Linked DNA regions of Drosophila melanogaster. The protein of the gene in region 4 interacts with the protein of the main gene of each other region in a pairwise test. Each region holds a gene or a part of one and is shown on either strand. Other genes may lie near its edges.

Region 1 (7,551 bases), on a different chromosome or scaffold from region 4:
TAACTTTTTCAAACTGAAAATTGCTTACAAAGCCAAAATATTTATGAGTTAACTTTTTCGATTCGAAAAAATTGAGTCAAGGCAACTTCTCGAGTTTCGAGTGTCAACAGCGATAGGAAGGGAATTTCCATTTGGTTAGATGTTTAAAAACCCATTTACATATGATAATGATTTCCTATGAGTTCTTTGTTGAAACAGATGTTTAAAAAATGGAGCTTGGCTGATTGCAAAATTGAACAAAGTTGAAGTGAATATGGGTATGGATGGCTTATTGGATATTTCGATTTAGGAGGTAAAAGTCCGCGACTTCGATGGAACCCCCGAAAAGTGGCGATCCCAGAAGGAGGACGGTGGAGAGAGAGAGCTGTTGGATCAGTTTAGTTCACAGGTAAGTTGGCAAAACGCGAATGTGACTCACTGGCGGTACAAACTAGTATTATCTAGGTGGATTTCTCTAGAGGTTGCTCGAAGAAAAAACAGACGCCGTGCGAGTGGTGAACGTGCTTCGAATCACCTTATCTCGCACCTACCGCGCTCCACACAGAGAAACAAATATGCTGCAACTTTACACGTTTTAAATGCAGTTTTCTAAACAAAAATATATGTGTGAAATTTGTATACCCATTTAGATCAATTTTAACGTGCTTTGATAAGTCTCGAAAACGATTTGAGTTTCGGATGAAATGAATCATCACCCCAATTGTTACTCTGCATTTGATGTTTCTGTTTTTTACCTCGCCGCTTTGGGATTTCTTTATAAACGATGTCGCAAAAGAAAACTGGATTCACAGGCAACACACTATGTGGGCAATGGGCTTCGGTTTTGAATTCGGTGTCGTTGTTTACCGCTTCGCTACCCCTGAAGTAAATACGTTCATACATATGCATGTATATATGTACTTACCATTATGTTTGTACTTTATATGTACCATATCCGATCGAGTCGAATGAATACAAGACAATAACTGTACGGGTTGTCCATATTTGAGCATCGAAAGCGTTTTTCCCTCGACGAATTCATTTAATGCTGAGACCCGTAGTCTTTAATTTTTGTGTAATGCTCTCAACGATTTTCAGGCCACCCCCGAGAAATACATATACATGAACATATGTATGTATAACTGAGGACGGTGTTTACGTAGTGACGAAAAGCACGCAGAGTATATATATAGTAGTATATGAGTATATATACTCAGTATATATATGTATACTGGAATAAAAATGTAAAATATTTAGATGAAACTTTAATATTTATGGGTATCCGGTAGGTGCTCGTGCATTGTTGTTTTCAAACTCCACTAGATATGTATCTACATATGTGTGCTACCCATATTTGTTGCCCTGGATGCCTGTATGTCTGCACACAAACTTAAGGCAAATCAAAAGCGTAAACAATTTTGTTTTTATTTTGCTTTTGGTTGCTTCTCTTTTATTTTAATGGCGCTTTGCTTAAGCTAATTGCAATCTATAAATGGCGACGGCGATAGTGGATTTCAGCGAGGTTGTCGGTGAAGGGGTATATACTTCGCCCCTCCCCCCACACGACCGTTTGAATTCGCGATTGCAAACATAAAAACAAAAGCCCAGAGCTAAAGAAAAAACAGATATATGTATAAATCATGGGGAAACGTGACTAAATGGAATCGTTCATACCCCTTGATTGGCATTTAGACATCACTTCGATGTACATTGTTTATAACCTATAAATTTCTGAATGTAAAATAAATTGTTATGCTTATTAGCAAAGCGTTCTAAATATATAAGATAACGCTTTCGTCCAATATACCCTAACTGCGGGGTATCCAAAGCGAGATGTGGCTAAACAAAAAGTTGCGTGCACTGGTCTCGGACTGGGCCCGTAGATGTATCTGTATCTACGCAATTGGTATCTGTAAGATACACACACATCCGAATGTTCACGTTGTGCCGCCACACGCGCTGTGTGCCGAGCGGGATGGAGATACTGGTGGAGCGAGATGGGAGGCGTTCGTATTTACAAGTTTTGTGCGTTGGTCTCTGACGACCCCTTGGCCACCCATCTCCTACGTCCCCCTGGTCACAGTCCCCATTCCTCACTCCCCTGTATTTTTGTACAACCATATGTATGTATGTACGTATGCGTGCAAAGTACGCAAATGGCGAAGAAAAATATTAAAAAAATATAAATATAAAAATAAGTTAAACACACAAGAGAAAAATATTCACTTCAAGTGAATTCTGGTAGTGTATTTTAATGTATTTATGGGCTATAAAGATTTGATCTTTTCGAGTTTCATTTATTGCTGTTATTGATGTTTCGCTGGAACACTATGTTTTTTTTCTTATCAAAACTTTTTAAGAAAATTACCAGCTAGGAAACTCCACTTGAACTCTTGGTTCTTTCGTGCTCATAAAAATATCAACAGTTTTTTATGTGTATAAATTGTGAATATATTATGGGCAATCTCATGTGAGTGTGTGTCAACGGTTATTTTATTTTTTTTCCTTTCGGTTTTTGTTATTTTCAGGCAGTGGAATAATTTTATTCTGCTGCGCAATTTCTACTATTGATTCCCATTCGTATTCCCACATTTTATGCTTTTCTTTGGCCTGCCCCTATCGCCATGGCTTCGCTTCCATGAACTGCCCTGCTTTGATACCATTTTCTAAATTAAGGCATACTTTCGCACAAACAAACATTCGACTGTGTACATATACATATGTACATATATGTGGGGTACTTGCGGACCCTGATAGCATTCGCACCTTATCGCTATAGTGGCTCTGTGTACATTATAATTATTATTGCACGCGTAAACATCATATATAGCGATAAGAGCGGTTGTTGTTACCTCAGACGGATGATAAGCGTAGTGTAGTCAAGCAGATGTTAACCCTTAGAGAGTCGGAAATTCGGTTGAGTTCGTAACGGAAATGACTCTGTGAAATGGGTTCCCAAAAAAGGTGGATGATTCACGGACTCCAAATACCCATGCGGGCTATTAACCAGTCCATCTTTTATGTCACATGTATTAAGATTATATTTATATAGCACACATTTTTTCTTAAATTGTTTAAATTTTTATACCAAATGGGAACTATATCCATATCAGGCAATTAATATTAACTGCTTTTTGGATCACCCTCAATAATGCATACAATCTGCATACTCATTGTTTTATTACAATACAACTACCACTAATTAATATTAATAGACCACATATGATATGGCATTCGTTTAGTCAGTTTAAGATAATTCTGAATTCTGTATACCCTCGGCAGGTTCAAAGAACTTACTAGTTTCCATAGAGGTCATATTGGATACGAAGCTTTCAGCAAATTGAAATACTTGCTATTCCAAGCGCCTTGAAATGGTTTTAGGTTGGCAATCGCTCACCTCACTGTATTGACTTTTCATCTCGGCGAACACGTGACTTGCGCTTTGTCTGGCAATATGTATTCCCATAGCTAGAAAACTCATTGAATGTGAATGAATCTGTTATCGGTCAAGTGGGAACGATGTGTGATAACCCCGTGGTTTGATAAGCGTCGATGTCGAGCTTGGATTGCATGAAGTGGTCTGATCGTGAGATTTCAGCTTGGAATCAGTCAAACATTTCCCAGTTCACCGACAAGATGTGGTCCTCTAAGACTATTTTGGTTTTCCTAGCAGCATTTACTTTGGTCCAGGCATGTTTCCGATTGTGCAAGCCTGCTGGATGTTTCTTAACAAAATTTCTAATCCTTATAGGGTAGCATGCGGTTTCACTTCACCTTGGACTTTCACGTACAGCAGCCGCCGAATGCATCCGACACCATCGACAAGACCATTATTGTGGAGAACGATCGGATATCTATGGTGGACAACGAAGGAGCGACTACTAAGGCTCCGATGACCCAGTGGACAGATCAGGATCAGTATAATCAGGACGCATTGCTGAAGGTGACCGATACGCGCAGATCGGTGCAACAGCTGAATACGGAGCTCTCACCCCTGGTTGGCAGGAGCACCGATTTGGCCAGAAGGATTAAGCAGAGTATGCGATACGTCAACGAGGTGGATGCTAATCTGGACGATTTGAGCAACTTTGGGCAGCTGGTGGAGCTGCTCAAGAAATTCGTAATCCTAGTCGATAACCTAAGGGATCCAAACAATCTCGGAGGCATTCGAAGCCTGGAGTACGTACTCCTGAAGTTGGCTCTAGAGAAGTACGACCTTCTGAACAAGCGACAGGAGATCGGTGAATACTTGGAAAGGGCGGAGAGTGCCTGGCGAAGATACCAAAACACACAGGTGGTTGTTCTGGATAACTCCACCTGAGTCGGGCTCAGATGCCTAGGACCACCACATTAGGAACTTAGTTTTAGGATAAAACAGAACAAAGACCAGCATCATGGGTCGACACAATCGCTGCACCATGATCTACTAGAGCGGCTCGGCTCTTGAAAGGAATAAAAGACATCGAAGGGACTTCCTGTCTATTATTCGATTTCACTGCAATGCCCAGAATTGCTACAGGTATGCGAGGGGAGGTATTCCAGGGGTAGAATACCCTAAATTCCCTTCGGTGCCCGGTTTCGTTAAGGCTGGAAAGTACGTTACACACGCTGGGAATGCCTTTGTACACTGCAAAAAATTTAAGTTAGACCTAGAAGAGTAAGCAATCATGATAAATAAGTATTTTACCCTAAACAAAAATTCTGCTTGATTTTTATTTGTTTTATTTTTCCCTAAAAAACTGCACCTGCAATCATTTTCGTGAAGTATTGATTTATTGATATTGATGTAGATTTCCTATCAGTAGAATCTACATTTCTTGCATAGCAATTCATTTAATCTAATCAAAATAACAGTAATAAAATACTTAAAAAAGAAAATACGATAAAGTTTTCAGTGCATTTCCATTCAGCAGATGCAGGTAGTCGGAATCGAGGAACTAAGGGACCTTTTAATAGGGTAGAACAGCTGCCAGAGCCGTTGCTAATAGATGAAGTGGAGGGTAGGGTCCCGAACGCGGGCAGAAATTTCCGAAACCCGAAACAACCACTAACAAAAACCATATGCAGTTAAGTGGGAAATGGAATGGGGCGATCCCGAGGAGAACGGCATCATCAGGACGTTACGAGTACCATTTGTCGGGTGAATTGTGGGGGCGGGTATTCGGGGTAACGATATCGTCGTACCCCCCATAGATGGTACTCAGGGAATTCCCAGCAGTGTGGAACGCTTGAAAGCCGACACCGCATCCAAATCTCTGTGTTACCCCTATGGGTTCCTTAACGGTTTTCAGCGATTTCTTTTTAGGGGTGTCGTCTGGAGTGTCGACTTATAAATACGCTCGTACAATCCATAAATGTGCCTTTGTGTTGAACAAAAACCATGAAGAAATCGGTATACATAATGAAAACTCGATTGGCATAAGAGGTACAAGCTGTATGAATACAGGTTTCAACTCTTTTTTGTATCAACATCAGCCGAAACTGGTCAAACGGCTTTGGAACATGGGCCATCCGATGGCTTATGTATCGTTTTGACAGTTTATGTTTATACTAAAATTTCGCTGCAGGCGATAAATATGTATTGAGACAGCATCCGGCCCAAGAAAGTAGTGGCTAGGGGGATGAATAACAGAACATGGGATTTATGTAAAAATATCAATTACACATGTGGACAATTTGCTTGCATACATAGTTAATATACATATGAGCATATATATTCATATGAAATTCCATACAAATCCATGTTGTATGAAATTGATATTGAAACCCACGTATAAAAATATATTGCCGTCGTTAGATAATTTATGGTTTAAAACAAAATAAAATGCATATTTTTTATACATTATTTAATGTTGTTTTTAATGTTTTTTTCATTGTCTTAAATAACTCTACAACTATTGTATTATTATCAAAAATTACAAAAGTAAGCGTATAATATATACATTGCGCAAAACACAGAAGTTACTATGAGAAAACTATTTGACGCATTATTAAGAACTAAAAAAAATAATTGAATCATTGGTTGCATTAAAGTTTAACCCCTGGTTTGTGAATATTATTGTTTGTATATTAAATTACAAATTACAGTTCATTATTTAAATTTCGCGCCCTAAAGATTAGACGATTTACGATAACGATTAAATGTATTCTTATTGCTTATGTTAACTTGCTGTTAAACGAATTTTGCCCTTCTTGTAAATGCATTTGTAAATGATTTGACTTCTGTAGTGAATATTCAATTCGGCTTGAAGTTTCGTAGGATTTTCAGGACCTCGATCTGAAAGTCAAGCTTGCGATCGGCGCACATCTGCTGCATGTGAGGCTTAATGGTGTCGAAGAAGGCCTGATCAGGATCGGCGGACAAGTAGGCGGTATTTGTACTGCAGGGTGGATCTGATGGTAACTGTGGAATATATGCGATTTCCGGAGTGGCGGTGTCCTCCTTGGCGCAGCCCAGATCTCCCAGAACCGTATTTATGTTGCTTGGTATGGCTGGATTGCGGATGGCAGGCTCAATATTCGATTCTTGGTCGGAGTTTCTCTTTCGTGGAGTCTTTGCAGATCTCTGTGCGGCAGTGCTCACTCGCTTCCGTTTGGCCTGGGGCTTGGGTTGCTCCTTCAAGGATTCTACATCGTCCTCCGACTCTGCTTTCACGTTCAGCAGGAAACTCAGTTCCTTTTCGTAGATGTAGGAAGCTCTGGCCACCTCCTCGCCACTTTGACGTAGTCGGTTGACCCGTAGGTAGCTGTCCCTCGTGTTTTTCCAACGTTTGAGCAGTGTTTTAACTGGAATTGGAAGTTATGTATGATATAGACTCAAAAAGGTAGCCACCACCTACCTATTTCCTGCTTCTCCGGCTCGCTGGAGTCGTCAAAATTCGAGCAAAGCTCGTGGCCAATTTGCTGCCAGGCCTCATCTCTGAGTTCGCGGTTATGGAAGTTTGGGTGGCTTCGTTCCCATATAATAGAACGTTTGTGTACCGCGTCAATGAACTCGTACATCGAATAGCGCAAATTGCTTCCTGCCGATCGAAGAACTTTATGATTGCCCATTATTTATTGTTTATTTAAGGGTTGGATTGGATTGACAATATGTTGCTTGCGTTTAACAGCACCACGGGCAGCTGCTTAACAGCACTCCCCGCAGAGTTGCCACCTCGCCCCGCATTTAAACTAAAAACGTTCTGATGTTATGAAAATACAAATTTCAATTTTGTGTTTTATTATTAAACATATACAGATAGGTCAGTGGATTATTGTTGCTGTTGTTCTTGCTTCGAAGCGTGCGAAATGCGAAGGTATGACCGAGTAATACGTGTACGTGTTAAATTAGGAGAGAAATGCAAGTGAGTTTTGATGATTAGGGTGTAGTGTTCTCTGGATTTCTGAATGATTCTATTTACATGGGCCTGCCCATTCCGCGGCCCATTCCCATGCCACCGCCGGCCATCGGGGGTTCTCCGGCCTTGGGACTCTTTATTGTCTCATCGACGGAAAGGATCATGCAGGCTGCCTCGGCGGCCGCCGTCAGTGCATTGATCTTAATGATGGACGGCTCCCAGACGCACTGCT
Region 2 (8,286 bases), on a different chromosome or scaffold from region 4:
TCCTTGGTCAGATTTAGGAGCTCATTGGGCAGCATAGAGAAGTAAAATCGAATGGCAGCCACCGCAAACTCATTGGAGACCTCCAAAGCACGATTAGGCTGTTTTCTCCTAATCTCACTGGACATCTTCTGGCCGAGCACCTCTGGCAGCCACTCCTCAATGACCACTCGACGATATATATCCACATTGACTGCCTTGGCAGCTTGGAAGAGCTTTTCATCGCTCCACCGGGGATTCCTTTGCTTCAGCTCGGCAGCCACTTTGTTGTGATTGCGCATGAAGATCGTGTAGATCAGTATGGAGAACGGACTGCTATTCACCCGCGAATCTCCGGCAGCAAAGCAGGTGCCATCACCAATTGTTGCCCTGGCGCAGAACGATGGTCCTTCCGTATCGGTGGCGATGGGCAGGAGGGCGTTGTCGAATTCTCCACGAGGAGTTGACCTTAACAAACCGCCCTCGAGAACACGCAACTTTCTCTCCGCCGCTGCGGTGAAACCATAGAGTTGCGATAGATCCAAGGACCCCGTGGCCTGGTTGAGCTACATACATATAATAGAAGTAAGCAATCAGTGATATTTTTACATGGTTTTTCACAATTGAATTCTTCTTACTTGTTCGGCGCCACCGAAATTGCAATCAGCCACGGCCAGAGCACTTCGCACATAGTTAAGGCAGCTGGGCACGTCGTATTTCCCACCGGGCTGGTACAGAATCGGAGCACATGCCGGGTGGTGGTGACGCGGCTGAAGGTTGATCTGGTCACGGCTGCAGCACTCTATTGGGGCTCCATTGCCTGGGAACGGAGAAATCGTTAATTGAAACAATTTTAACAATATAAATATATAAATTGATATACTTTGGTTTTAAGTATGTTAAGTACAAAAGGAAGAGGTCATCATATGAAACTCACTCATTGATTGCGACACCGGCTTGCTAAGATCATGCTCCACAAATTGAGCCCACTGAGGGAGGGCCAAATTGGAATTGCTTTCGAAGGTTTGTTGTTTGGAGATCTGAATGTGATCGGGCTCATACAGCTCCTTACTAATGGACCACGCAGCCGGCACTGTTTCGCGTCTTCCGGAATTGGGAAACATCTAAAAATACCATATAAACCATTTAATTCATCTTCTACATCCTGTTTTTCTGAGCGGATCGCACCTGATAGAAACCGTTCCTGTAGTGGCTGCTCCCAAGTAGCCTTCTGAAAGCATAGTGACCCTCTCGATTTCCCTTGAGTGAGTTCTCACACTCAGTTCGCAAGCTACTGCCCTCCGGAAGTGGTTTTTGCTCCAGGTAACTGCGGCACTTGTCTCCATCGATATTATTAGGCAGGCATTCGCTGTTGAAAACGAGCAAGCTGGACTTAAGGATCTTCAGGGCGAGCTTATTGTCCTTCTTCGAAGCTAGGCTTGGTAAAGTATCCAGAAGTTGAGCGTGTGAAAGGCTGCCGTTCTTAACAGTGATATCGGAACCTAATAGATTGTCCTCCAGTCTGAAAAAATGGTTAAGTAATATTATGTAAAATATAATGTTTAAATTTAAGCCCGAATACGGAAATATAAGTCGCGCACCAAGTTCAGCAGAAAAGTGTCACATCCTAAACATATCAGCGTAAGTCATTAAAGTTAACTGGTTTTCAAAGTAATCAGTTGTACAAACCGCTTTTGCCTATTTACTGAGTCCAACGCCGTTTCTACATATTGCAACCATTTCGAAGCAGGAATCCTGTTTAATTCGGCATTAACATCTCGGCTCGCTGAAGATTCATAAAATGATACAAATGAATTGGTTAAATTTAAGTTTATTCAGATGGGTAGTTTAATTTATAATTTTCATTATCATCATTTCTCTTGGGAATCTCAATTTCTAGGCGCCGTTTTAAGTAAATTGACTCATTTAAAGAAAACATGATTTATATCTACGGTATAATTGAATTGTTCTGGAATATTCCACAAATTGTCTTGTCAACACATTAATCAAGACAATTTAAAAGTACTATATCAAAGGTAACGATACAATCATAAAAAATGGCCTTTTGTGAATGGTTTCTATGCAGTCGTATTGTTATTGAAAGTGTGAATACCCTATTAAAGAGATATTTACCTGAATACAGTATGCTAATTCAAGTGAAATATCTCTGCATCTTACTCGAAAAATAAACATCAATTATTTCTCACGCTTATAGAAATCTATTTGGATCCGATCAGTAAACAATTGTTGATTGGGAATTCTTATTCAGCGATAAGCCCTCATATATGCGAACCTTGGGGTGAGCTTTTGGAATTTATTGGAATCTTTATCAACAAGTATATGCAAATGGGGTTTTTTGAATGTAACAATTTAGTAATGTTTATTACAATAAACAAATGTGAAAACCTGGTAAAAACCAATGCAGTCATTCATGATGATATAACGCTTGAGCACTCGCAGAAAGTGGAAAGTACATTTTACATTGATCAATAAAACAGTTTCCCATTTCTGTATATATTTTTAATACTTGTACTTAATTACAGGCTAAATAGTGCGTAGTGATTGTGGAAATTTATCGCTGTGAGACGACCAGCCTCCGCTTTACGAATGTCTTTCTGCTTTATCAATTAAATATTTATATACTTCAATAAAGTTTTTATTATCATAATAAACCGAATAACAAGCTATAAAATTAATAGGTTTCCCTCTATTTGGTCTACTTTTCTACACGAAGAAGACTGTGCTCTCTTAAAAGAAATTAGCACGAGAATGAGATACTTGACACCAAAATGTCTCTATAAACACAGAGTTTAATTTAAATACTGCTAGCGGACTCACAATTAGCATCGATTGTTGTCAATAATGATGCTCCTATTATGAAAGCCAGCAGGCAGATGTACTGAATTCCACCCATTGCAGTGTCTTTGTTCTAGAACTCGGATTTTTCAGCCACCGGTTGTGATTCACAAAATACCCGCACGTCAATGGGATTTAAGTCACGTCGCTAGCTTGTGATAAGGAAGTGATCCGAACTGCGACTCTATCGGACCTAATCCGCGCTTTCAGTCCAATTAAACCGTGTCGACGGCTCAGCGATTCGTAGACTACTGAGCTTGGGGGCAAATCTCGACAGAATCGAGTCGATGAGAATGAGAATGAGTCGGGTCGTTATCACGCACAAGGGAACCTCATCATCTGGATAATCATCATCATCATCATCTGGCTATCGTGCTGGCAGCAGACTCTCTCAGCGAATGAATAAAGTCGTACAAACGTAAACAAATGTTATTTTTGTTTTGGCTTGGTGAATCAAGCCACCCGTACAAAGCCGTACCAACACTAACATAATATGCAAATAAAGACCTCATCCGTGGGGTTCAGTTCTGCCCACGCCTTTGTCCGTCCATCTACTGATATATATGTAAAGATTTTATAAGCCATTATTAACGCCTGAGTTGATGGTTTGTCCGACAGATTGTTTAAATCCAGCGCCAAATTAATCGATAGGCTGAGCCAGTGGTTCACTAGTTCCGGCTTGAAACTAGTTCGTTTATTGAGTCACCCTAACATTACTACATGAATGTAAGAAAACTATCGATGGCGGTGGCAACAGTCCAACGATTGTTCCATCCCTATTCCTTCCACCTCTAATTTTCGGCTAAACAAGCGTTTTCTCATTTCTCAAAAAGCAATCAGATTTTATCAATAAAAGAGGACGATTTCACCAGCCATGGCAACTTTAGACGCGGAAGCCAACGAGGAGCAGTTCGGCAATGATCAGCCCAAGTCGATGTCGGGTCCAATCATTGGGATTATCTATCCGCCGCCGGAAGTTAGAAGCATCCTTTGCCAAAAAGAAAACAAACTTTTTTCTCAATTTAGCCATTTTTTACTCAAAATACATTCATTTAATACACATTTAGCGTTTCCCATACTCAGTTATCAAAGCTTTAACTATTAGATATCGTTGACAAGACCGCCAGTTTTGTGGCTCGCAATGGACCGGAATTCGAGGCGCGCATCCGCCAAAATGAGCTGGGCAATCCAAAGTTTAACTTCTTAAATGGCGGAGATCCCTACCACGCATACTACAGACACAAGGTCAACGAGTTCCGCGAGGGCAATGGTATGTTTTCGTTCACTTCCCATTAATACTTCCTCTTAATACATGAGACCGTTTCAGATGCCGGTATCACTGCCCTTGCCAGCATGAAGCAGCTGGCGGTGACCAGTGCCGCCCAACAGCGCCAGCAAGAGCTTCTCAAGCAAGTGGTGGAGCAGCAGTTCGTACCAAAGGAACCTCCACCTGAATTCGAGTTCATAGCCGATCCGCCCTCCATTTCGGCGCTGGATTTGTAAGTGTCCACTCGCCAGGAAGTTCCAATCGCTGTCTTATTGTCTTGCATATCTTTTCAGGGACATTGTGAAGCTAACTGCTCAATTTGTGGCCCGTAACGGCCGACAGTTTCTGACCAATCTTATGAGCCGGGAGCAGCGTAACTTTCAGTTTGACTTCCTGCGACCCCAGCACTCGCTCTTCCAGTACTTTACCAAGTTGCTGGAGCAGTATACCAAGGTCTTGATACCTCCAAAGGATTTGCTGGGCAAACTGCGTTCCGAGAGCGCACCGGGCAGGAGCAGCATGAACCAGGTGCTGGAGCAGGTTAAATATCGGGCCAACTGGCAGCGTCACCAAGAAGCACAACGCCGCCGTGAGGAGGAGAAGATCGAAAGGGAGCGCGTGGCCTATGCCCAAATCGATTGGCATGACTTTGTGGTGGTGGAGACGGTGGACTATCAGCCATTCGAATCGGGCAACTTCCCGCCACCCACGAATCCCGACGAGGTAGGAGCCCGTGTGCTAATGGAAGAGCGTCTAATGGACGAAGAGGGCGATACAGAAATGCAGATCGAGTCGGACGACGAGGGCGACTCCCAGGCTAACAACCTATTGGACAGCGGTCTGAAACTCTCGCAAATGGAGAACCGTGTGGGTATACAAATGAAGAACGTATCGTCGTATGGCCAGCCGACTGGCCCCAAGAGAGACAACACCCAGGTGCAAGACATGGACGAAGCCTCTAGTGATGAGGACACTCCAACCACTAAGTTGCAGCCATCTGTTGCGCCAATGCTGCCGCCCACCCACGACAAAGTGGTGGTCAAGAAATACGATCCTAAGGCAACGCAACCGAAGCAGGCGCCAATGCCTACGGATGAGTATCTCATCTCGCCGATTACAGGAGAGAAAATACCGGCTTCCAAGGTCTCGGAGCACATGCGCATCGGTCTATTGGATCCACGCTGGGTGGAACAGCGAGACAAGCATACTGTGGAGAAAATCAATCAAGACAATGTGTTCGCCGCGGGCACTGCCATCGAGGCGAGTCTCAAGCAACTGGCTGAGCGTCGTACGGATATCTTTGGTGTGGGCGACGAGGAGACCGTCATTGGTAAGAAGCTCGGCGAAGAGGAGACGAAGAAGGACGATCGCGTCACCTGGGACGGACACACGTCCAGCGTGGAGGCGGCCACGAGAGCAGCACGTGCAAATATCACTCTGGAGGAACAAATTCATCAAATCCACAAGGTTAAGGGACTGCTGCCCGACGAGGAGAAGGAGAAAATCGGCCCCAAACCGGTGGGCAACAAGGCGACGCTTTCAGCTCCGCCGCAGCCGTCAACCAAGTCGCAGCACAGTCACTCCAGCCAGAGTCAACACCACCAAGGTGGCGGAGGTGGTCACCACGGGCATCATAATCCTCATCATCACCATCCACCGCATCAGCAGGCGCCACCTCACCAGTCGCACCACCATCACCCGCCGCAGCAGCCTCAACCGGTGATGCAGCTGATGCAACTGCGTCCAACCATGATGCGTAAGTAACAAATAGTATGCAAATCTCGTCGAGGGCTTAGCGTTTTTATTTTGCAGAGCCGCCTTTTGGAGCTGGTGGTGGAGGCTACATGAACATGCAGCCTGGTGGAATCCCTCAGCAAATTGCACCTGCTCCACCTGTTGATATAATGGAGGAGGAGCCGCCTTCTAAAAAGATTCGAAGCGAGGACAACCTGATTCCAGAAGCAGACTTTATTGCCACCCACAAGGTAAGTTTGATTTTGATATCTGGCTATCTATTGGTATATAACCCATCTTAAATTATTTCAGAGCCCTGTGACCATTCAGGTTTTGGTACCCAATTCCGACAAATCAGAGTGGAAGCTTAATGGACAGATGATAGCCGTGACCATGGCACTTTCTGAACCCATTGCCAATCTGAAGACGAAGCTGCAGGACGAAACTGGCATGCCACCGGCCAAGCAGAAGATATTTTATGAGGTAAGAAATACAACTAATGTTTCGAAAACTATTATTTCAATAACATCTATCCTTCAGGGAATGTTCTTCAAAGACAGCAATACCATGGCTTTTTACAATCTGGTAAACGGAACCACGGTGCATTTACAGGTCAAGGAGCGTGGTGGACGCAAAAAGTAGGCGGATCAAAGATTAAAGGCATACCAGACACAATAAGGAGTGGGCCATATATAAAAATTTATTTGTATATGGTTTCGCATAAATTTGTAATAAATCGTCAATCACAGAATTTGTTAATTGCACTTAAGTTCTGTCAATTACAGGAGACGTTTAAGAAGGAATCAGTTTGTGAATGTACGGAGTATAAACTGGAATGTTACGTTGGGCTTTCGGAGAGTTTATGTGTTAGGATTGGACAGGACGCGCGCCATTTCGCGATATCGTTGTAGCATTGGAGCGTAGATTTCCTCGCTGTCCTTGTGTGGTTCGCATACAAGGCTCAGTTTGTTACTTGTCAGACTTAGGATATAATCTCGGTAACAGAGAGGCGTCACCCCATCACCTGCCTCTTGAAGGTACAGAGCGTAGGCGGATCGATAAGCGGCTCCCAGTAGGGCAGCCTCAAATCCTTCATCCTGCAAGAAACATGTTGCTTAAATTGCTTGCACTTGAGAAACAGTTGGTATGAACTAACCTGGATATGGACGGGAGCATTGAACACATCGGCAATTGTTTGCAGGATTGATTTGTTAACAGATGCGCCTCCTGTGACAAGGATTTGTGTCTCGGGTCCGAATTTGTAGCCAAGGTCTTCAGCCACAGCCCGGTGATGCAGCATCTGACCTTCAACTAGGGCTCGAATTTCGATTTGGGGCGAGCTGAATCTATAAAGCGAAAGAGGTCAGGAATATTTTATACATTTTAAAGAATTCAGTAGAAGGGAAATAGGCATTAAGAAAAAGTATAAACGACAAAAAACATGATCATGTTGGTAAAAAGTCATTTCTAAAAATAACTATTTACAGATGTCTGTTAACTGATTATGAGTCATTGCTTTCATGTCGGACCTAAAACAGCTAAATTTTCAATCAGACTTACTTGATTACACCCCTAGCCGCGTCCGGGGAACTGGGATCCATTTCCCTGTTCCATCGCAGAATACCCTGCGCCTTGGGAATGATTTCCATGTCGTTAAAGTGCACGGCCATGTTCCCAAAGTTTCCACGGGGCGTGGAGTCGAGATACTCATTGAATTTATCCCAATCGCCGCCGGTTGTCTTCTTGTTCATTTCCTCACGGACCAATGAAGCATTTCTAAAACTGAAAAAGACATTTAAATAAACTAATTTTAAGATATAATGTCCCAGGAATAATTTACCATAGAAGGCCCATGAATTCTTCCGTTTCAGTTGGATGGCAGAGTATATGACCCTCCTCCCAGTTTAGCGGCTCCTTCAAGCTCATCATTAGGGTGTCACTTGTGCCCATGGAAATGGTAAGCCAGCTGCTGCCCACCAACATTCCAGACAGCGCCGAAGGATTGTCCCCCGTGCTAGCAGCCACTTTGCAATCGGGCGAAAAACTAAAGCGCTCCACAAAGTACGGAGAGACGTTGCCTAAAATCGAATTTGGACTGACCGGAATGTCCAGGCGCTTGTCCAAATCGGGTGCACAAACATTTAGGCATTCTTTGGACCAGTTCTTCTTGCGGATGTCCAGCAGATTCATGCCGGAACCATCACTGAAGTCAATTGGAGCGACGGAGCCCAGAAATAGCGATGATATAAAACTGCTGACCAATGAGATTCGGTTGGCCTCTTCGTAGGCGTGGCAGCGTTGCTGATATATCTTTCTAATTTGGGGACCCGTAAAACGTTCGTAGCACTTCGAGCCCGTCAGTTCCACCATGTTAAGTTTGCCACCAACAGCCATCTCCATCTCTAGGCACTGTTTGGTGGTGGTGGCGTCCATCCAAATCGGAGTACGATTTA
Region 3 (8,047 bases), on a different chromosome or scaffold from region 4:
CAATGAGCGAGCGTGCTTGGCCAATAGTGTGGAAACGGACAAGTTTGGGGTGGTAAAGCACCTAGTTATAAAACCGAAAATCAAAAAAACAATCTAGATATGTGTTCATCATTACTTACTCTATGTACGGTTCCATTTCCTCCATCGTCCATCTCTTTTTAGTCTTAAATAGCGCCCGCATGCGATCGCTTATATTGGTGGGCAGTAACTCCTCTGCCAGGGAGCGTATGCAAGGCTGCGCTCCCTCCTTGTCGCAAATGCCCAGACCTCGTAGGTACTTTAAGTCGCAGGACATGCCCTCGGGCAGTACCTCCTGCCAGGTGCGCATGAACTCCTCGTTGCGAAAGCGCAAACCCGGCTGAAGAATGTTCTGTGCCACAATGCGGGAGACCAAGGACTCCTGGTACTCAAACTTGCCCGGGCAACGTTCACTGGGAATGGTATAGATATCAAACAGCCCAGCCACAACATCCTCTGGAGCTATGCCCTTCAGTGCATTGATGGTCTCCTCCCGTTCCACTTCGTCCAAGGCCCAGGAGTTTTCGCTTATCAAACCCAGCATCATGTTAATAATGCGATACTCGTATTCGTACTCCATCACGCGCATTCGCCCGTCCAGTTCTATGGCTCGATATTGGTTCAATCCCTCCATGAACTGACCGCGGCTGCACTGCACCGTGTCCAGGAGCTGCGAAAAGGTAAAGAGTAGCTTCTGCTCCACGCAGAACTCGTTCTCCGGCCCCGAATATCGAGTCAGCTGCAGTAGTTCACCCAGCTTGCGAAAGCGCGGCTTTATCTCGCGGCACTCGAAGTACTCGTGGAACACCTTGAGCACCGGCCGCTGCTCCAGAGTTCGCGGCACTTCCAGTTCATCCTCCGTGCTGTCATTGAGGCTGCGCTCCAGGGAGGCGTTGGCGTTGCCAGTGCGCGGACTCTTCAGCGGCGAGGTGCTGGTGGCGGCGGCAAACTTGAGGTCCGGTACCAGCAAAAGGCTATTGGATATTTCCGCGCCCTTCACGTCGTACGTTCGCTCATCGGTGCACAGCACCAGCTTCTCGTTCTGGCCACCCTTGAAATATAGCGTCTGGCCGTCGCGGATTTGTCCAAGCATGTGCCCATCGAGCTCCAGAAGGCGCAGATTGTCCGAATCCACGTCCGCCGAGGGAAAGTACAGAGCCTGGGTGAGTTGGGTCAACTGGCGCTCGTCCAGTTTCGCATGCTTCACAATGGCCTTCACATCCTCCGGCGTGCGAACGTAGCTATGGCGGGTGGTTGGGTAACATTATAACTCCTACGCAGGCATACCAAAGGCACTCACAGCTGGGCAGCAGACTCATCAACCTCCATGGATTCCATGTTCGCTGCATGTAAACAAAACAAAAAATTAACCAAAACAATGAGCGGGAAAAAGTAGTGGGACCAAAGCACAGCAATGTTGCTTTCGTTGAGGGTATTCAATGGCCTTTCAATATGTAAGCTTAATGTGCTTGGAAAACATTACAGCATTAATCCGCACACCCTGCAAGGGCACACTCACCGCTCAGCTGATCAGTTATTTAACGGTCGTAGCCTCGGCAAGAACGTTTCTTTTTTGAGCGGAGATTTCGCGAGCACGCGTCTTGTTTTCCGCCGTTCGCCGTGCACTTGGACGCGCACTTTAGAAAGCGTTGACTGCGCCAAAGGTCATTGCTGGGCAAGAGAAGCGTCCAATCGCCGCTGGTGGTGACGCTTGTGGAAAAATCAATTCGGACCAGTGACGGACGTCGAACTTCCAGTTCTCTGACAAGCGGAATCCAGTCAACAACAACATGCCCGTGGGAACGTTTGACGCCTGGGATGCGGCCGTGCTGATCACCATCCTGGTCATATCGGCTCTGATTGGCATCTACTACCGGTATACAGGCGGCAAGCAAAAGACCACACAGGAGTATCTGATGGCGGACCAGAGCATGACCACTTTTCCGGTCTCCTTCAGCCTGATGGCAAGCTTCATGTCCGCCATCTCACTGATGGGCGTCTCCAACGAGTCCTACGAATTTGGTACCATCTTCTGTGTGATCAACATTGCCTACGTGCTGAGTACGCCCATTGCCGCGTACTTCTTCCTTCCTGTTTTCTACAGGATGCGGACGACCAGTGTGTACGAGTATCTGGAGCGGCGCTTTGGCCAGGCCACCCGGCTGTCCGCCTCCCTGGCCTTCACCGTGCAAATGGTGCTTTACATGGGCATTGCACTCTATGCACCAGCGCTCGCTTTAGAAGCTGTAACCGGCATTCATCGGTCAATGGCCATCGTGGTCATTGGACTGGTGTGCACCTTCTATTCGACACTTGGCGGCCTGAAGGCGGTGCTCATCACGGATGTGTTTCAGTCCTTCCTCATGTTTGCCGCCATCTACGCCGTGATTGCCGTGTCGGCCATTAAAGCCGGCGGATTCGCGGCCATCTGGGATGTGGCTGTGGAGCGAGGACGCGTGAACTTCATTGAGTTTTCATTGGATCCCACCGTGAGGCATACTTGGTGGTCTCTGATCATTGGCGGCATGGTCACTTACCTCTCCTTGTATGGCGTTAATCAAACGCAAGTACAGCGACTCCTGAGTGTCCGCAATTTGAAGAGCGCTCAGTCGGCGCTTTGGTGGAACCTGCCCATCCTAGGAATGCTTAGTTTTAGCACCATTTTCAGTGGACTGTCCATATTCTACTATTATCGAGATTGTGACCCTTTGCTAAAGGGACGCATCGACAAGCGGGATCAGATCATGCCCCTTTTCGCACTGGAGACTATGGGTGAGTTGGAAAGACATCCAATAAGAATTAGCATTATTTGATTTCTTTTTCCGGCAGGTCAATATCCTGGACTGTGTGGTCTGTTCGTGTCCGGAATATTCTCCGCCAGTCTTTCCACGATTTCGTCGGCAGTTACCTCGCTGTCGGCTGTAACACTGGAGGATTACCTGAAGCCCTTGTACAAGGCGATATTTAAACGGACGCTAATTGACTCCAAGTCCACGATGCCCACCAAGATTGTGGCGTGCATTTTTGGCCTGCTTTGCATCGGTCTAGCTTTTGTCGCTGGCTCCATGGGCGGAGTTCTTCAGGCATCGCTTACCATTTTCGGTGTGGTAGGCGGTCCGCTGCTGGCCATTTTCACACTGGGAGTCTGCACTACACGCAGCAACCAAAGAGGCGTGCTGCTTGGCTTCCTCGTTTCCCTGATAGTTTCCTTCTGGATGGGATTCGGCGGACCCAAACCAAAGCCAGTTACCTTGGAGTTTAGCACAGCGGGCTGTGAGAATGCCACCGCGGTAATGGCGCGTGCCATCGAGCTCAGCTCAAAGAGCAGCGGAGTGGTCATCGAACCCGACTACTTCTGGTTATATCGAATTTCTTACTTGTGGCTGAGCGTCATCGGCTTTCTTATTGCCGTGGTCGTCGGCTATTTCAGCAGCATTGTGCTGGCTCACTGTGGAAAGGCAGAAAACGCGGAAATCTATTTGGACAAGTCTCGGAAGCAGCTGGACTACGATCTCTTCGCACCCATGCTGTCCCGCCGCTGGCGACGCCATAAAGAAGAACAAGACCAAACTGCCCAGGACGAAACGCTCACCAAACTAACTGAGCAGTAGTTCCGCCCGGCTTAGATTTAGTGTAGAATATATACATACATATAAAAGAATTTCCAGAAGGCGTCGGCTATTTGGTTAGTCGTGTTACGGATGTCGTACCTAAAAGTGCATAACTATGTGACCTTTTTGTATACCTGTGTGAACGAAACTGGCATACAGAGCGACCAAAACAGAGTCTTCCATATACACGTAAACAACGATAATTAGTAGTTATTAGTCGTGTTGCAAATGTTCACAAGCGCATCATTAAGAGGCCTCTTAAGAATAGTCAAATGTTTTTTACAAGAACGTATCAAAAGTAGGAGTCTACCTCAATGAACTTTTACAGAGGGACAATAATCAATTTGGAGCCTAAAAGCGAGTTGGCCGACTACTTTCCCATGTTGAGCATTGGCAGCCACAATGCCCCACATAAATTATTGATTTAGTAGTACATCTAATTTTAATGGGATATTTATATTCATACCTCTTAGTTACTCGATATTTGCATACATAGATAACATAATAACATTACAATAATACACTACAGTGAGCACCGCCTATAAATAGTTACTACATGGCTCTTAAAGCATTACATTGCGCCACAGTGTGAATTCTGTTTACTTATATACCTCTACTATATGTACACAAATATACTATAGACTAATTATATACTCGTGTCGTGTCGCAATCAACCATTGAACAATAACTCGGAGCAGTGAAAGTTATGTGTATTTGTAAAAGCCAAACTGCTGATCATTAAAGAAATCTGTTCTACAAAATGTGATTGCCTTTTTTTTTATTTGCTGCGGAAACATGATACTTGCAATCCCCAGCTGCAGCTTGGATTGAAATAATTACTTCGGTTGGCTCATGGGTGTTTTTCAGAAATCACGATTTGTCGAATACTTCCTGCGATAAGCAAATTCGTACGCTATCAGCTACCAAGGTTATGCGAGGCTCTCCCAACATTGCTCACTCGATGAGGAATCTATTTCGGAACGAATGCCATAACTTTCAAGCGTTTACCTTTGCCAATTGACTATTGCGCCATGCGGGAACAAAGTCTAATTGCGGGTCGGAGACAGCAAATTGCTTAAAATTGGAGAAGCCATGGGTCAGCATGTGAATATGGGTTCGCCTGTAAACAAATGCCAATTGATAGATTTGTCGAAACATCATTAATAAACCCAGACCACGCTCGTCTTGCTCATGGAAAGTTTTCAGAACGGATTGGGAGTTCAAAGTACGAATAGACTCGCATGACACACATTTTTGGCTAATGTTCTGGCGAAAGAGGAGACCAAAAGCGGTGGATAACATAGTTACGCCATAACCGATTTTTGTTTACTCTAACTTAGTGTGCGATTTACTATTTTTAACAATATTTATGTTAACCAACAAGAATCTTAAGGCATTTATTTGTATTCATTAGCAACGTCATAAAATATAATAACCATACAGATTTACATATAAGAGTATCAATTTGGCGACTGATGATTGTTTAGCCTTCATTTTTGCAACGCCAACAGATGATTTGGGCGATTTGTTAGCATTCGGAAGCAAAGCTTTCACAGATAGTTTCGCTGATACGATAAGGGTTTCGTTTGGATAGCATTCATTGAAGTGATTCATTGGGGAAGATTTATGGTTCTATTGATTCTGCTTCCTCACAAACTTCATGAACACATCCTGGAAAGTTGTATGGCTGACCGAGTAGTACAATATCTGCATCTCATCCTTCAAGTTCTCCATGTACTCGAAGATCGCGGACCACTTAATCTGCCCTCTGGGAATGCAGAAGGTGATCATGCCACGGTAGGAGTACTTCTCGCTGGGGGGAACAATTAATTATAATTAATTAAATATATACAACTCTTAGCTCTTTAAATAAATTACAATAACTATTATGCTCGATTGAGATGTAAGGTCATAATAACTTTCCTTTAATCAATCATGACTTTCTTATACACAACGTAAACAAGATTATTTTCATTTCTGTGCCAGTATGCGCGATTTGCCCAGACTATTTATATATGAGTATATTATTTGTAAATAAACCATATTCACATCCAAAGTGAGCAGCAAATGTTTATGTAGATATCTGTGTGCGTGCACTAGTGTATTGAAAATTTCAATCTGCTGTTGCAAGTGGTCAATATCGTCAATTAGCAATGATCGTGACCCAAATAAAACGAAAATAGAAAATCCTACTTTATCAATTAATATGGATACTGTTTTAGTTTGATTAATTTTTTCAGAAAACTTTGCTTTAAGACGATATGTAATGATGTCAAAATATGCATAGAAAATTACTCATACGAAACATATGCCAAAAATAATCTAAGCAAAAAGCTTGGTTAGCACATATCAATATTCTGATATAACACTTTAGTAAATATTTTTATGTACATACCTGACAGTGCTGTATGGATGGTCCTTTTTGAAGACCTCCTCCAATTCCTGCAGCAACGCCTCGTAGTCCTTGCGCATGTTCAATTCCGAATTTGTGGTGTCCGGCTGGGCGCGACTGGTCCTCGACTTCTTGACTGGTTCCACTGGTGGATTGTGATGTCTCAGCAAGTGCGCCAACATCATACGGCGAGCGCCCACCGTGCTTCCCATTTCACTATCGTTTGGAGGCATCATAGTGATCTGCATCCAATTGTCCCGCTCATCGTCCATTTCTGCTCTGGTACCCATCTTCACCTTAACGAAAATGCCCATGTTGAAGCGGTGCTTTAAACGCGATAAAGATCCGTAGCAGAGCAGCGAGCCGTGATCCATGATGCCCACATTGGTGCACAGAAACTCACACTCCTCCAAGTTGTGCGTAGTCAGCAGAATGCTGCGTCCACCCTGGCGGATGCCGTCCAAAATACTCCATATCTCGTACTTGGCATGCATGTCCACGCCGGCGGTGGGCTCATCTAGGCACATAAGCGAGGGCGCCAGGGTGCCCATGGCAATCATTAGCTTCCGCTTCGTTCCATTGCTGTATGTGCTGATGCGCTTATTCATGTGCGGTACGAGTTCAAAGCACTCGGCCAATGATGCCACCAAGCTCTTGATATATTCCCTTCGAATGCCGTTGATCAAGCAACAGAAGCGCAGCGCATCCTTGCCAGTCATGAACGACAAGAGCATCAGTTCCCGCGGACAGAATCCCACGTGTCGCGAGGCGTCCTTGGGACGCGTCTTCAGGCTGTAGCCCTTGATGTGAATGCTGCCCACCGTGATCGACTCCATGCCCACGATCATGCGGAAGATGCTGGACTTGCCAGACCCATTCCTTCCCAGCAAGCCAACGCACTCGAAACTGGTAAAAGATGTTGTGACTTTTTTACCTTCATACTAAAGTGATACTCACGGATTGAGATCCAATGTTAGGGACCGCACTGCCACAAAGCTGCCATACCGCTTCGATAGGTTCTTTAGGATCAGAGGAAAGAAGGCGTAATGCGCTGTGGTCAGGTAGGCCAATCTCCGCCGCATTTTGTCCACTTCCTTATCCTCATCCTTGTAGCTTGGGTATATCTTTTCGTTGCGAATTGACCTAAACAACAATTGGTAATCGGTTAGCATAAAGCTAGAGCACAATTGATCTAAACATAACTTGAAGACATAGTTTAGTCGGCGCGGAACCCATGCGAACACCACAATGGTAAGATACGCCGCTCCGCTGAAGATCAGGTAAGGTAGCTGCTTCAAGCTGAAGGTACTCATACGTATCGCCTCATACATTCCGCAACACAATGAATAATGTGGATGGACCAAAAGCACGGACTCAATAACAGCGTACCGAGTTTGCGGACTCTTTGGGTGAATGAAGAGGGCCAAAACACCTGGAAATAAAGTTTCCTTGCAGTATCCAAAAAGAAATACAATGAAGCCATAATTACCTATCATATTGATGTACAATATAATGCTGAACATCTTGCCGAAATCATTGGACATCAGGCACAACAGATAGGTGAATGAAATGGCGGAGAACCCGAAGGCAAGCAACTGAACTATTACGGGCAACACGGAACCTATTGTGATTCCGGCGACCACGATCAGAGGCAAGATCATTGCGATGTAAAAGCAATAGTCCCAGGACAGGTGCGACAGCCAGTAGGTGCTGCGGCTCATCCCGCTGCTGAATTGCTGGTGCTGCACTTTGGACCGGCGCTCGACGATCGGCAAAACTGCAAAGATGGCAGTGCCCAGGACTAGGTAATGGAACACCAGCACGGCAAATTCTATGGTGCTGGCGTAGATCAGTCCCCTAACTGCCTGCTGTACCGTATCCTGATACGGTTTGTTCACAATCCGAATATCAAGTTTTGCCAGCTCCTGCCCAATGGCCGCGTACACCAGGCCCATTGAGAGTGCAGAGCCGTGCTTGAGCTTGTTGTTTGACCAGGCGATGATCGAGTTGGCGTTGCTGTCGAAGG
Region 4 (5,296 bases):
TCGAATTTACTCAGTGTTTAATGTTTAAATTTCGAAGCAATTCAAGTGTTGCTCTTGTGTAAGTGAAATTTTTGAAACTGGCTCGTTCATTGTAGATAAGCCCTTTTATCAGCAACACTAACGGGGCGGATACTTAATTTCTATGTAATACTTTAGTCGCCAACAGTGCTGACCAATATCAACTTACTTTTGTAGCTAAATAGCTAAAATGTTATTAATGGCGGTTTAGTTAAATAAGGTCATAAAAACAAGTATTTTCTTACTATGACTAATCTTATAAATTAAAAACATTTGGAGACTAAAAATATTTATATACAAATATCTATTCCCTGAAGTGGACAGATTTGGCTAATAAACAGCTAGACGGCCATGACTGTCTTGCCTTGCGAACTATCGATATCGATAACGCCGGTTGCGTGTCAGCACTATTCGCACTGAAACAACAAACACGCGCAAAAAAAGAAGAAGGAAACTGCATTGTTTACCAGATTTCGGAGTTTTTCCTCATCTATCCGAGCATCCGCGAATCCGTCAGAGATGGACATCCTTTTGGCCAACGTAAGTGGGCTGCAGTTCAAGGCGGAGCGGGACCTCATCGAGCAGGTGGGTGCCATCCCGCTGCCGTTCTACGGCATGGACAAGTCCATTGCGGCGGTCTGCAACTTCATCACCAGGAACGGACAGGAGTGCGACAAAGGGAGCGCCTGTCCCTTCCGACACATTCGCGGGGACCGGACGATCGTGTGCAAGCACTGGCTGAGAGGACTGTGCAAGAAGGGCGACCAGTGCGAGTTCCTGCACGAGTACGACATGACCAAGATGCCCGAGTGCTACTTCTACTCGAGGTTCAACGCCTGCCACAACAAAGAGTGTCCCTTTTTGCACATCGACCCGCAGAGCAAGGTGAAGGATTGTCCGTGGTACAAGAGAGGCTTCTGCCGCCACGGTCCCCACTGCCGGCACCAGCATCTGCGCCGTGTCCTGTGCATGGACTACCTAGCCGGCTTCTGCCCCGAGGGCCCGTCCTGCAAGCACATGCATCCGCACTTCGAGCTGCCCCCGCTGGCGGAACTGGGTAAGGATCAGCTGCACAAGAAACTGCCCACGTGCCACTATTGCGGCGAGCTGGGCCACAAGGCCAACTCGTGCAAGCAGTATGTGGGCAGCCTGGAGCATCGCAACAATATCAACGCAATGGATCACTCCGGCGGACACTCGGGCGGCTACTCTGGACACTCCGGCCACATCGAGGGTGCCGATGACATGCAATCCAATCACCACAGTCAGCCGCATGGTCCCGGCTTCGTCAAGGTGCCCACGCCCCTGGAGGAGATCACCTGCTACAAGTGCGGGAACAAGGGCCACTACGCGAACAAGTGTCCCAAGGGTCACCTCGCCTTCCTCTCTAACCAACATAGTCATAAGTAGGACGCTCTGCTCTGTATGATTAGACTGTAAGAGTGCAGAAATAAAGGTCGAAAGCGGTCTGCATAGTCCGCTGTGTAGTCCAGAGGTCGTAGGTTCCCAACTTCCGCAGGCGAACGTTTCAATCATTCTGTGTTTAAAGTGTATGTTAAGAAACTCATTTGCATTTTTGAAAAAAGTCCCTAGAACTGCCAGTAGAACGTATTGTGTTATCAGCGAAATAAACTTCCATAAGATACAAGTAAGCAATTCGTTTTGGAAGGGAGTTTAGTTGTATGTTTTGGGTTTTCTCCAAAAATATAAATGTATCATGTTTTTTCGTTTGTAAGATAACAATTTGTGCCTCACAATTTTTTTTCGGATTCAAGTTTCGAATTTTTGGGCGGCGAATCGTCTTTTCCAAGTTTGCAACCACTCTAGAGTTGCCTCACTTTTGTCCACATCTTTTGAAAGGCGAATTAGAACTGGTCACACTGGCTTGTCTGGATCGAGATTTCAGCTCGTCAACAATTGCGCACTAAATTTTCAGTAAAAACAAACAAGTTGGTCGTGCGGAGGCATCAAGAACACAGCATACGAGCAGCCATGACAATTCTGGGAAAACTGCGGGGACAGCCCACGGACCAGGAGAAGGTGCCCCTGCCCATGAACCTCAACGACGAGGCGCTCATGCACCATGGCTCCCTAATCGCAGTGAGTTTTGCTTGGCATCGCATCTGCGGGATGTGTCCTTATTTTTGCGCAATCGTGCTATGTCCTTGTCCATCCCTCGCGCCCTGCCCGCCACCGTGTCCTTCGTCCTGCGGCCCGAGAGCCACAAGTCTCGTGATGGGTGGGTGGTTGGTGCTGATTCCGATTCGGAATCCATTCCGAATTACAGCCTCAGCAGCAGCAGCTCGCCATCGATTTTTCCCCGACCAAGCTCCGCACTCCTTGGTGTCCTTGTGGCCCGTGCTTCCCCTTACCCCCCTGCCCGCATGCAACCCCTGCTCCACTCCAAGTGACGTGTGCCCATTCACTTTCCTGGGCTTTCCGCGCCAAGGACTCGCTCGCTCGCTCCCCGAGGTCAGCGCGAAGGGTTTTCCTGTTGCTGGTGGAGATTGGCCCTGACGGCTGGGGAAAGCCACTTACGGTGCCAGTTGCAGCCCTTTGTGAGCTGCTGACACTGTGCACTTTGACCTCGATTCGTGTGCACGGGTATCCAGAGAAAGTCGTGTCTTATCAGCTTGCTGGTCATAAGCACAATCATTCCCAGCTGCCAGCTCCCATCTCCCATCTCCCAGCATATTTGCCCATCTGCAGTTTATTTATTTAGTGTAGATATCACTAATTTTCCAGAGATTTATATACAATCATACATTTACATATGAGTTATGCACTACATAGTCGAATAAGGTCCACTCTAGTGCATGCAAATGCCTTCAATTGATTAATTTTTTGCAAGGGGATCTCTTCTGACCCCTCCTTAGACTAATCTCTCGCTAACGACGTATCTTTCGAAACAATTTTGACTTAGCAATGCAATTGCATTGTTTATAGAACAAGAGAAGGCATTGCAGTGAAAAATTATCTTGCTGAGCTGGCGGAAAATATAAATGTGTGATTAATATTCAGCAAGCTCAAACCTTTCGACTTGTGGAACTTCCACTATCAACATTACAGTCAACTGCCTTCTATTTGTATTTTTCTACGACTTATCGTCGTTTTTATGACTTTCCACTGGAACAATGGGTGATAAGGAAACAGATATAACAAGTCGGTCATTTTAGATAACTTTAGATTGTATATAAAACTGCTACTTTTCCATTGCAATTTGTTGTTCCTACAAAATTGCAAGTGACACTTAGAGGAGTATCCCATATTTTTAAAACCCCCCATTTTCCACACACAGCCCAAGGTTGCTTACAGCGATAATGAAGCCGACGCGGAATCCATGGTCTTCAACCGGCCGCAGCACCATTGCATCAAATCCTTTCTGCTGTTCCTGATCGCCGTAGTCGTGATGCTCCTGGGTGTCCTGGGCGGATGGACCCTGTACCGAGTGTACGCTCCGTCGCATAGCAGCATGCGCTACCACGCCCTGTGCGAGATCCCCTATCCGGAGGACTCGATGGAGATGGCGCGGGTATATCCGCGCACCGTGGAACCGTTCGCCCTGAACTGGCGCTCCTTGCTACCCGAGCTCGCGCAACCGATGCCCAACAGTGGATCGCTGGACGAGAGCCACTTCCGCGAGGACATCGAACTGGACGGTGACAGCGATGACGAGGGCTACGCACGCGTGGACGTGCCCGACTTCAAGGATGGACGTCGTGGTCGCTTCATGCACGACTTCAAGGAGAACCAGTCGGCCATTATCGACACTACCACCGGACGGTGCTTCATCATGCCCTTGGATCGGGACACGACCCTGCCCCCGACCAGCTTTGTGGATCTCATAAAGAAGATGAGCACTGGCTACTACAACATAGATACGGAGCGCGTGCGGCGCCAGATGCGTGTGGTCATGCCCCGCATCACCGATGTCTCGCTCATCTCGGAGCGGATTGCCAACGAGTGCTTCGATATGAAGGTCTACATGATGGAGAAGTTCGTCTCAGGCGGTGAGTAGCAATGTCTTACAGGTGCCAGCAACTTACTGATCCATTCCCATTCCTCGACCCATTACAGTCTCGAAGAGATCGGCTGATCCGCTGCCGGAGTCAGCCAAGTACGCCGAGTTCATGGGCAAGGGCGTCATCGAGTACGACCTGGCCAACATCGCCGAGGTGGAGGCCTACGAGGCCAACGAGGCTAGGCAACAGGCCTGAGCTTTGGAGGAGGAGGAGGATCTTTTAAGCTACAACACCCATATGATAACACAACCTAAACAAATTATTACTTAGAATCGATTTATACATACACAGAGCCATGCCTACAAGTCTAGATCTGGTTACCACTGGTTAGCAGGACACACACCCACTCCGGGTGGATATATCATCATTGGCCAAGCGAGTTTAGCAAATTATAGACCCTAGTAAGGAAGCGTAACGAAAATGTACCTAGAACGCAATCAAAAGCGATCGACGAAATTGTGACAAATACGTGAAATGTATTAGCCTCGAGGGCGGATTGAAAGGATACGGAGAGATTGGATCGGTACACGCGCACAGACACACTGCGGCATTCCAAGTACATATTTTATATATATGCTCTTAAACTCTATTCTAACAATTAATGTATAGAACGGATTCAGAACGAAGCTATTTACAGCAAAAACAACCTGAGGGCGGAAAACATGGCAACTATCAGCATGCGTAAGAGAAACAAGTAAATTAATCTAAATGTTCTTTAAACTACTTACATGTATTAAACGCGAATTTGTGATCTTTAGCAGTGTGATCTTTATTGGTTGGGCTGCCACTGGCAATAGTATTTTCGACTAGAGTATACTTTAAGTTAACTAATCTAAAACAAACAGCTTAATCTAGAAGAACGGCTTGCACAAGGCAATGGTGTGATCCACTCCGTAGGCCACTTTGGTGACCTTTCCGTTGATGGCCGCCTTAAAGGGAAAGAACTGGTCCTTCTTGTGTCCCAGCCCCAGATGCCCGAACCTGTTCTTGCCCCACATGAAGAGATCTCCGTCCGAGTTGACGGCGCCCATGTGAAACACTCCGCATCCGATGGAAACCACTGTGGTTTCGTTGCTGAAGTCATTTCGTCCGAATAAAGGCGGCAACAGATGCTGCGGCTTGGATGTTTGCTCCACGAAGGGTCCGAAGCCGAGGATGCCAAAGCCCCAGGTGTACACCAGACCCTGGTCGTTGAGGGCCATGCAAAATGAGCCTCCCGCAGCCACATCCTTGATTTTCCCGATGGACTTCGTTAG

What was found.
Region 1: the proteins of CG3662 (region 4) and CG9837 interact in a two-hybrid assay, tested with the Drosophila melanogaster proteins (one large-scale study listed by BioGRID).
Region 2: the proteins of CG3662 (region 4) and Sf3a1 interact in a two-hybrid assay, tested with the Drosophila melanogaster proteins (one large-scale study listed by BioGRID).
Region 3: the proteins of CG3662 (region 4) and CG10444 interact in a two-hybrid assay, tested with the Drosophila melanogaster proteins (one large-scale study listed by BioGRID).

What each region holds. Positions count from the first base shown.
Region 1 is NT_033777.3:8,805,847-8,813,397, reverse strand, and holds CG9837 (uncharacterized protein), read left to right. Parts: upstream 1-3,586; 5' UTR 3,587-3,615; coding exon 3,616-3,669; intron 3,670-3,730; coding exon 3,731-4,300; 3' UTR 4,301-5,719; downstream 5,720-7,551. Other genes in the region: hng2 (hinge2), read right to left, coding at 6,215-6,765, 6,819-7,032; CCT7 (chaperonin containing TCP1 subunit 7), read right to left, coding at 7,379-7,551.
Region 2 is NT_033777.3:16,997,680-17,005,965, reverse strand, and holds Sf3a1 (splicing factor 3a subunit 1), read left to right. Parts: upstream 1-3,610; 5' UTR 3,611-3,706; coding exon 3,707-3,815; intron 3,816-3,937; coding exon 3,938-4,102; intron 4,103-4,159; coding exon 4,160-4,331; intron 4,332-4,392; coding exon 4,393-5,855; intron 5,856-5,911; coding exon 5,912-6,084; intron 6,085-6,145; coding exon 6,146-6,316; intron 6,317-6,373; coding exon 6,374-6,475; 3' UTR 6,476-6,582; downstream 6,583-8,286. Other genes in the region: Irc (Immune-regulated catalase), read right to left, coding at 1-542, 615-796, 914-1,100, 1,165-1,498, 1,666-1,762, 2,815-2,890; CG3534 (uncharacterized protein), read right to left, coding at 6,694-6,930, 6,990-7,179, 7,394-7,615, 7,674-8,286.
Region 3 is NT_033778.4:20,268,000-20,276,046, reverse strand, and holds CG10444 (uncharacterized protein), read left to right. Parts: upstream 1-1,547; 5' UTR 1,548-1,808; coding exon 1,809-2,790; intron 2,791-2,847; coding exon 2,848-3,629; 3' UTR 3,630-4,394; downstream 4,395-8,047. Other genes in the region: CG11788 (uncharacterized protein), read right to left, coding at 1-61, 120-1,259, 1,319-1,356; CG8908 (uncharacterized protein), read right to left, coding at 5,262-5,442, 6,025-6,927, 6,979-7,164, 7,225-7,453, 7,511-8,047.
Region 4 is NT_033779.5:819,542-824,837, forward strand, and holds CG3662 (uncharacterized protein), read left to right. Parts: upstream 1-1,747; 5' UTR 1,748-2,010; coding exon 2,011-2,118; exon of another isoform or gene 2,119-3,316; coding exon 3,317-4,028; intron 4,029-4,095; coding exon 4,096-4,235; 3' UTR 4,236-4,596; exon of another isoform or gene 4,597-4,649; 3' UTR 4,650-4,796; downstream 4,797-5,296. Other genes in the region: Clp (clipper), read left to right, coding at 538-1,428; CG3862 (uncharacterized protein), read right to left, coding at 4,892-5,296.